Linked DNA regions of Rattus norvegicus. The protein of the gene in region 1 purifies or fractionates together with the protein of each later gene. This does not show direct contact. Links are inferred from orthologs where the notes say so. Each region holds a gene or a part of one and is shown in the gene's direction. Other genes may lie near its edges.

Evidence for each region.
Region 2: the proteins of Map4k5 (region 1) and Crkl purify together in Homo sapiens (affinity purification with western blotting; 3 studies listed by BioGRID and IntAct, with this or other methods). This does not show direct contact. The link is inferred for Rattus norvegicus from reciprocal best matches to the Homo sapiens genes MAP4K5 and CRKL.

The regions. Positions count from the first base shown.
Region 1 is NC_086024.1:94,109,961-94,114,271, reverse strand, and holds the start of Map4k5 (mitogen-activated protein kinase kinase kinase kinase 5), read left to right. Parts: upstream 1-1,328; 5' UTR 1,329-1,572; coding exon 1,573-1,680; intron 1,681-4,311. UniProt on the Homo sapiens protein: May play a role in the response to environmental stress. Appears to act upstream of the JUN N-terminal pathway.
Region 2 is NC_086029.1:97,064,385-97,068,777, reverse strand, and holds the start of Crkl (crk-like protein), read left to right. Parts: upstream 1-1,320; 5' UTR 1,321-1,802; coding exon 1,803-2,113; intron 2,114-4,393. UniProt on the Homo sapiens protein: May mediate the transduction of intracellular signals.

The DNA.
Region 1 (4,311 bases):
ACAAGAAAATGCATATATTCTCTATTCTGTTAAGGTGTTACTTGGATTCTTTAGTTATTAGCTATAAGAAGTATATTTCTCAAAACAGAATTAGATTGTGTCTGGAGTCACGTGTCACCTGAAATTTGTTCTGTTGTAATTTTATCTATTTTTTCAATTTCTCCTAAATTTTTATTTAACTTTGTGTTTTGGCTGCATGTATGTCTGTACACCATATGCATACCTGGTGCCTACACAGGCTAGAAGAGAGTGCTAGACCTCCTCCAGCCCACTCTGGACCCCTGCTTAGAGTTAACAGAAGTGAGCTGCCATGCAGGTGTTGGCAATCAACCCAGGTCCTCTGAGGAACAGCCAGTGTTGTTAACCACTGAGCCATCTTTCCAGTCCTTATCTAGTTTTTCTACTGAAAATCTCTGCAGGACTCTAGAAATAACTTTACCTATATACATAAAATTGGTGACTTCATTTCTACGTTAAGAACAAGATTGGGACTCAAATCACAAAACAGACCAAAACATTAACCAAATCACTTCTCACAACTCCTGCCCAATATTCTGGGCATGGTTAGGCATCTTACAGTTTATAATCCTCTTTACAATGCTATAAAATGGTTTACAAACATCTCGGGTGTCAAATGCAAAACCTACCCTCTTCCAGGGACTGATAAGGACACTCAGATGTTGCCAAGGACGCTTTGTCCCAGATCACCTACTTTGGAACCAGACTCAGGCAAAGGTCCCTAGCTTGGCTTTAGCATCTCCAGAACTCCTAGTCCCATTAAAGATGCAATATTGTGGCGATGCCCAGAAACCACAGGAACTTCGTAGGAATTGGGGTTTTCAAAAATGTCTCGGGAAACCCCGGTCCAGCCTCAGAACTGGTACCACCGGGAACAGTGTGTGGAACAGGACGGTGCAGTCGGGTGTGCCGGCGTTTAGTTAACCCGGCACTCCCCCACCTCCTGCCCGGACGGACTCAGTTTACCTTGACTGAATGGAAGTAGGAGGCACCGCTTCCGAGGCCTGCGCACAGGCCCTCCTCCTCTAGTCCTGCCGGCAACTGGACGAATCCTGGCCGTGCCTGGGCGGGTCAGACGCCGCACGAATGCCTTGGGCGCCCCGCAAGCAGCTAGGAGGCGGGGCCGGCGGCGGCGAGGGTGTCGTGCACTCGGCGGGCCTCAGGGCGGCACTCTGGGCCCGCGGCCTGCGCTCTCGGGCGGGCCGGGCTCGATCCGCGCCGGCCGCGAACGTGTCTCCCGGTGACGCAGCCGCGGGTGGGGAACGTGGTGCGGCGGCAGCAGCGACTGTGCGCACGGCCGTCTCGGAGAAGACGCGGGTCTCCGACCCGGCGCTCAACAAGGAAGGAACAGCCTCTTCGGTACGGCCCGCGCGGGGCCTGGCGGGGCCAAGGAGGCCCGGAGGCTGCCGGGGTCGCGCCCCGTGACGCCCCCGCGCTCGCTCTCGCCGGTGCAGGCGCAGCTGCGGGCTGAGGCTCCATGTTGGGAAGCGCCGCGCACCCTCGTTAGCGGGATACGGGTGCCACAGGCAGAGCCCCGGGCTGGGCGCAGCGAAGATGGAGGCCCCTCTGAGGCCTGCCGCCGACATCCTGAGACGGAACCCGCAGCACGACTACGAACTGGTGCAGAGGGTCGGCAGCGGCACCTACGGGGACGTGTACAAGGTGAGGCCCGGCCTGCAAGCTTGGGGCGTCCCCGGGATGCGCCGGACCACAGAGTCCGGCCAGGAAGTGGCCCGGACCCCGCGGCTGCGTTCCGAGCACCCTGGGTTCCCCATCGATTCTAACGCTACCGACCGGCAGACTTAACCGCACCTTCCAAACCACCGCTGAGCTTTTTTGTGGTTTTAAGGCGTACTTATGGTATTGAAGTTACTCTGAAGGATGTTCTGGTGTTAACGTGGAGAAAAAAAAAAATGCTCCGCGGAAGGCTGTAGATAGGAAAGAATATTGTAAATCTAGGCATTTGCACTCTAAATTATTGTTATGGGTGAACTTGACTTTAAAAATCTCTGTGGAACCGAGCTCTAAATTGTAACTCTAAGTAATCTGGTTCTGGAGTAAAAGGATTTGTGTGTAAACATGACGGCCTGTAGGAAGATGTCTTTGAGGACCCGGTGAGCTGGCTCTGGATATAAAGGCCCTTAGAGCCAAGCCTTAGGTCCCTAGAACGGTCCCCGGATTCTCCCGGTGGTGGAAGCAAGTTGTCGCCTGACCTCCACCCCCCTCCCCCCAAAAAAAAAAACCCCAGTAAATAAACAAAGTGTAATTAAGTTTAAACAAATTCAAAGAAAGATGTTTTTCACCTGGCAGAAGTTTAAGCATTTGTATCTGGTTGATAATAATGAGTATAGGGGTTGGGAATTTAGCTCAGTGGTAGAGCGCTTGCCTAGCAAACGCAAGGCCCTGGGTTCGGTCCCCAGCTCCGAAGAAAAAAAAAAAAAAAGATAATAATGAGTATGACTTAATGGGGTTTTCCGACTCCAGTAAATTCCTTTCTTTGGGATTTATAGTATTCCATAATCATGAGTGGATAATTGCTGCTATCCTTTTTACTGGTCTCTTATATTAAGACAAATAATAAATATGTAATCTGCCATTACACAACAACAACAACAAAAAAAACAACAATTTAAAAAAATGCCATAGCAAAGCAAACCAATTTCTTAAATCGGCTAAGTTTTTGAAGGGTTCAGAGGAAGACACTGTTCAATATTCCCTTGTGGCTTTTGTTCTTTGTTCCAAAGGGGCAGAGTTAGTGCAGTTCCTTATGGGTATTAAGAAAAAAGCGTATTTCCCTCTTGCAGCAGCTTGATATTTTGACCTATGTATCAGTACGTTCCAAACAGCAGTCTGCATCGAGCCCTAAGTGTCTCATGAGTAATCGCTTGATTCCACTGAAGTATGTTGATTTGCACAGGTGCTATGCAAGGAAAAACATCTCTTTTCTCTGCTTGTTTTTGAGTGAGTTTTTGCTAGTAGTAGTCCCTTGGGGTGTTTGATTCTGAGGGGAGGGCTCTGGGTAGGCTTTTTACCTCATAAGATCAGGCACTTGGGCCCAACCAGACACTGTTCTAGAAACAGAGCTGTGCAACAGTGAGCAAGGTCCTTACTCTGGCCTTGAGTGCCTTTGATGCAAAGTACTCAGTTATAAGGGAATCCCCTTCCTAATATAAAATTAGTGGTCGTTAGCACAAACTTGTTTATTTGCTCATCACCCATTTTAGGAAATGCTTGCTCTTTAAAAAAAGAAACTCCTGTTTGCCTTCTTGGTCCCATTTTAAATCATCTTTGTCTTATGATTCACTGTAAGTTAGACCAGTTCAGTTCCGTTCATGGTAATTATACAATACTCTAAATTCTAGTTCTTGTTCCACCCTACCCCTTTTCCCCCTACTAAGGAAAATTTAAAGGGAATATTTCCCCCACAAGGATGTTGCCAAGACCTCCACGGTTTTCTTCACAGAGTAACAACCAGAGCAGCTCCCTGGAAGTAGGAATCCTTCCCTAGGAAAGCAATGTTTACGTTAAAAGGACAGCTGACTGCCCGCTTCTTTTTTTTTTTTTTTCCCCCGGAGCTGGGGACTGAACCCAGGGCCTTGCGCTTCCTAGGTAAGCGCTCTACCACTGAGCTAAATCCCCAGCCCCGACTGCCCACTTCTTACCTGTGCTTCCCCGTCCTGCTGCTCACACTTCTACAACACAACAGACAAGTCAGAGGCTAAATGCTTCCCAGCCCACCCTCACCTCCTACCTTTCACAATCAAGCTCACTTTATTATGTGGACTCCTTGTGGGCTAAGCCAGCCTCTGTGTCCCACAGCCTTTCTTCTGTGTGGTGTGTTCTAATTACCTGGGATCTCCTCCCTCCCTGTTCTCCACCTGTGGCCACCATTGCTGCCTAGGAAAGCAATACTCAGTTGTCAGAAGCCCCAGCCCCTCACCCAGACCTCTAACTTCACCCACCACTCTCCCTCTCCCTTCTGCTCTAACCACGCTGGCCGGCAGGCTTTCCTTAACAGTAAGCATCTTCCCACTTTGCAGTCTTTGTTCTTGCTACTTCCTCTGTTCAGTATCTCTTCCCAGACAGTGTCTTGCTTCCTTCCCCTTAGACGTACCTGACCATCATTGTACTTACTGCAGTCTAGCACAGTGCTTTATTTATTTTTTTTCCGTGTCTGTTTTGTCCAGCATTATAAATACTCTGCAGACAGATTTTTACACCCCCCACCCCACCCCCATCGTGTTGTATCCTAACGCCTAGAACTAGGCAGGGCATGGAGTAAATGATTCCTAA
Region 2 (4,393 bases), on another chromosome or scaffold:
TGGGAAATGCTAACAGCCAGAATGAGACTTTAGTGACAGGGACCTAAGTAGCAATTCTCCTGTCTGCCTCAGCCCTGAGACCTCCTTCTCCCCTAACTTCCTCCCCATTTTAGTTGGGTCTCATATAGCTCAGCTGGCCTTGAACTCATGGTCCTCCTACTGCCATCTCCCCAGTGTTGGGATTACTGGTAGTGCCACCATCACTGGTCTGGGACATGCCTTCCTGTTCATCTAATTTGGGAATGCTGTGACCAATAATCCAGCATCAGTTTTTTGTAGATTTTTCACAATGGTCATTCGTTTAACAATTTTCTGATCATTCAAGACTAGATGTGGTTTTAAGGCGGGCAAAATAAGACAGTATTCCTGTTGTAATAAAATTTCATCCTGTCCTGTTAGTGGTGGCTCACATCTTTAATTCAAGCACAGGGAAGGCAGAGCCCAGTAGATGTGAATTTGAAGCCAGCCTGGTTTATAGTTAGTTCCTGGATAGCCAGGGGCACACAGAGAATTCCTATCTTGATTGGTTGATAGATAAATAAATAAATAAATAAATAAAGAAAGAAAGAAAGAAAGAAAGAAAGAAAGAAAGATAGATAGATAGAGAGATCGGTCCTAGTGTTGTTGGAGAGAGAAAACATGTTGGGAAGGCACAGCTGGAACGGCTGAATGGCAGGAAATGAACTTTTGGAGAGAGACCAAAGGTCTGGAGCAGGCAAAACCTGCAAGCCAGATACAAGTGTTGCATTTCTCTTGCTACATCTCAGAGCCTGAAGTGGCCAAGTCACCATCATCACACTGTCCTCGTCTTAAAGCATTAGTCAAACTGACCTTCACCATCATTCCACGTGTACCAAGTAGGATCACTTAGGGTAGGCGTTATTCAGTAACCTATTTGATGGTCAACTCACTGCCTAGGTCATGCCCTTCCTAAGCCACCTGACTTATCAGGGCCTTCAGGCTTAAAAATCACCTGAGGGCCACGCCTCCCTGTCCAGACATCCAGCCATCACGCTATGCTTTGTTCCCAGAAACAGGTTTTCAAAACGCTGTTCCCTCTCGGGTCCAGTTGTTTTCCTGCTAAGCCCGGTAGGCCTTACAGCAGCAGCCACTCAGAGGCTGCTTTGCGATCCAGGAAGGGCTTGACCCTCTGCCTCCTCCCGGAACGCGGGAGCCCGCACGAGTGGCTTAGGCTGGAACCCTCGCGAACGCACTCCTGATTGGCCGCGCCCAGTGACGTCAAAGGAAGAGCCCCTGCGGTGGGGGTAGCGCCCAGCTCCGCGCAAGCGCAGATAGAGTACGCTGGACCAAGGGGGAGGTGCCCGGTCGCTTCTCCCGCGTCCGCCATTTTGTTGCTGTGGCTATTGGGAACGGGTAGGGTAGGACGGTCCGGGAGGCGCGACTGTTGTTGGAGTGCGGTGCTTCGTGTGACGGCGAGGAACCGTGCGGGCTCTTGAGGCTGCGGAGCCGGCGGCTTCCAGGACAGAAGTCGCTGGATCCTACTCCGGACAGCTGAGAAGCCCGAGGCGGCCTCTGCTACTGCTCTGTTTCGCCCACCTCGACCCAGGGGTTTTGCCCACTGTTCCCGGACCGGCTCTCTCCGAGAGGCGGCCCTGTGCAGGAGGGCGGTGGCGGAGGATGCTGCGGGGCCCGGAGCCTAGAGGAACGTCCTGACCAAGCCCTCTGATTGTTCCTCGAAGTGTTCGAGAAGAGGCCCTTCCTCGACCCCAAAGCCGACAGCGGGTAAAGGCTTCCAGAGCAAGCGAGAGCAGCAGACGCCGCCCATCCCCGGGCCCAACACCATGTCCTCCGCCAGGTTTGATTCTTCAGACCGTTCTGCCTGGTACATGGGGCCAGTGTCTCGCCAGGAGGCGCAGACCCGTCTCCAGGGCCAGCGCCATGGCATGTTCCTAGTCCGGGACTCATCTACCTGCCCTGGGGACTATGTACTGTCCGTGTCCGAGAACTCGCGTGTCTCGCACTACATCATCAACTCCCTGCCCAACCGCCGCTTTAAGATCGGGGACCAGGAGTTTGACCATTTGCCGGCCTTGCTGGAGTTCTACAAGATCCACTACCTGGATACTACCACCTTAATCGAACCAGCGCCCAGGTAGGCGAGCTCCTGCCCTTTTCGGGCTCGGAACCTGACCTGCGGAGGGTCGGTCAAAGATTGAAATTTGGGGGTGGGGGTAAGGGATACTCCCTTTTCTCATTCTGAACCAGAAGACATTCGGATTGGAAGGCCAATGTCAGGATCTGGGTTGGATGAAAGGATGCATTTTATTTAGACATTTAGTAGTGCTTGCATTGTTTAAATCACCACCACCCCCAAGCCCACACATACATAGTTTTGTCACTTTAGTTGACTGTAATACTAGTGCAAAATTCTTATTAACGACGTTAAAATATATAGACTATCTTGAGTTTCTGAAGATAGCCATGACTACTACTTTCTCGAAATTCATGTACACCATTTAAGGTTTTTGTAGCTCCTGCATCTGTCAGCTAACTGGCCTTCAGCCTTTGGAATAATCCTTAAAATAGATCGAAAGGGTAGAAATCTCAGAATCTGATGCTGTAGCACTTAAAAAAACAAAAAACCAAAAAACTGGAATTACCAAGGAAAGAGATTGAGGTTTTATTTGAGGGAATTTGTATCATCACTGTTCCTTCCGCAGGGTGCAAAGTGTATTTACCTTCATTCTACATTAATTCTGTTTTTTTGGGGTTTTTTTGTAATTAAGTCTAGTTGTTTAACATATACTTTAAAGACACCCAAGTAGCGCTAGACGGGAGAGATACACGCCCCTAATCCTCTAAGGAAAGAGGACCTTGATTCCAAGCCAAACTGAGCTGTAGCAAGACCCTGCCTTAAAGAAAAAGACACTGATCCCCAAGTGTTCTCTTTTTCAATTAAAATGCATTATTTTATAATTTGCTTTAATTTTCCTAATAATATCATCAAATGATACAAGTGTTAATTGAAAACATATCTAGACACTTTAAAAGATATTTTACTGCCCCGTTTATTTCTAAGCTATTCTAAGAAAGAATTGAGGACTGATTTAGATTTAAGGTGAGGTGACTTCATAGAGGTGAAATTTGCTCAGGACTTTGAAATTGAAAAGATAGTATAATTAATTAAAGGCACCTACTTAAATCCAGAGTTTCTTCTTGAGGATAGAAGAATAAGCTGGGATGGTACAGTGAATGTATGTACGGTTAACGGCCAAACTCTGGATTTTAGAGTGTGGAGAAGGGCTAAGTGGTGATGAGGAGGGAAAGTGTGGTCCCCAGACCCACGCAAGCGTGGAAGGAGAGAGCTGAGTCACAGAGCTGTCCCTTAGCCCGGTATGCGCATCATGGCAAGCGAGTATCCTCACACAAGTACGTTTTAAAAATGTGAACACAGAAAGGTGATTGTAAAGAGTAATGCTAGCAAGAGGAGGACACTCAAGTTCTGTGAAACATGAAGTTCCTAGGCGATGCTGGAAGGTGTAAGAGCTTGGAGAAACCTAGGAAGGATAATGTTGGGTGATACAGCTAAGTAAATTACTCTCTTATTTGTGGAAGTGGATTATATTATTGACTTCGGGCCTTTATTAAAACATGCTTGCAGCATGTGACAGGTATTGGAGAAAGTCTAAGTTATTAGAGTCACCTCAAAGAGGGGAATGAATACTGCAGTGGCTTCCTGCTATTTACAGATCTTACTCTACTTCATGTGTCTCTCAGGTACCAAATGTAATTTCCTGAGTTTTTCCTTAGCTCTACTTGACATGCATTCCTATCTTTTCTGTCTTGCTTAATTTCCAAATGAAAGAAATAACCAAGTCATAATTATTCCAAATTTGATATAACTGTCCCTTGTATAGCTGCAAATTGTACATTTTAAATTTTAGAACAGATGGCAGTGTACCTTGAGGGATACTCTTTTAGTATCTCAACTTAAATGTAATAATTACTGATATTCTCCTTTTTTTTTTTTTTTTTTGGTTCTTTTTTTCGGAGCTGGGGACCGAACCCAGGGCCTTGTGCTTCCTAGGCAAGCGCTCTACCACTGAGCTAAATCCCCAACCCCCTGATATTCTCCTAATTGATCTTATGTTGTATGGTAAAGAAATTGAGGGGAAACTGTGACTATCTATACAAACACATAATTCACAAAATATATTAGAAACACTCATGTTGATTATAATCCTAACTGGTCACGTGGCCTTAGCTGATACTCCTCCTCCACTACCTATTTTATTTCTCCACCCTTAGCTAGCACCTCATCAGGTCTTGCCTTTTCTGGAGCAGTGACCCATATCTTCATTCTTGACTGTTCGGTGCCTTTTGTCTTCCTGCTTGGATTAGGCTGTTACAGTTACCCATTGACTAAAAAACA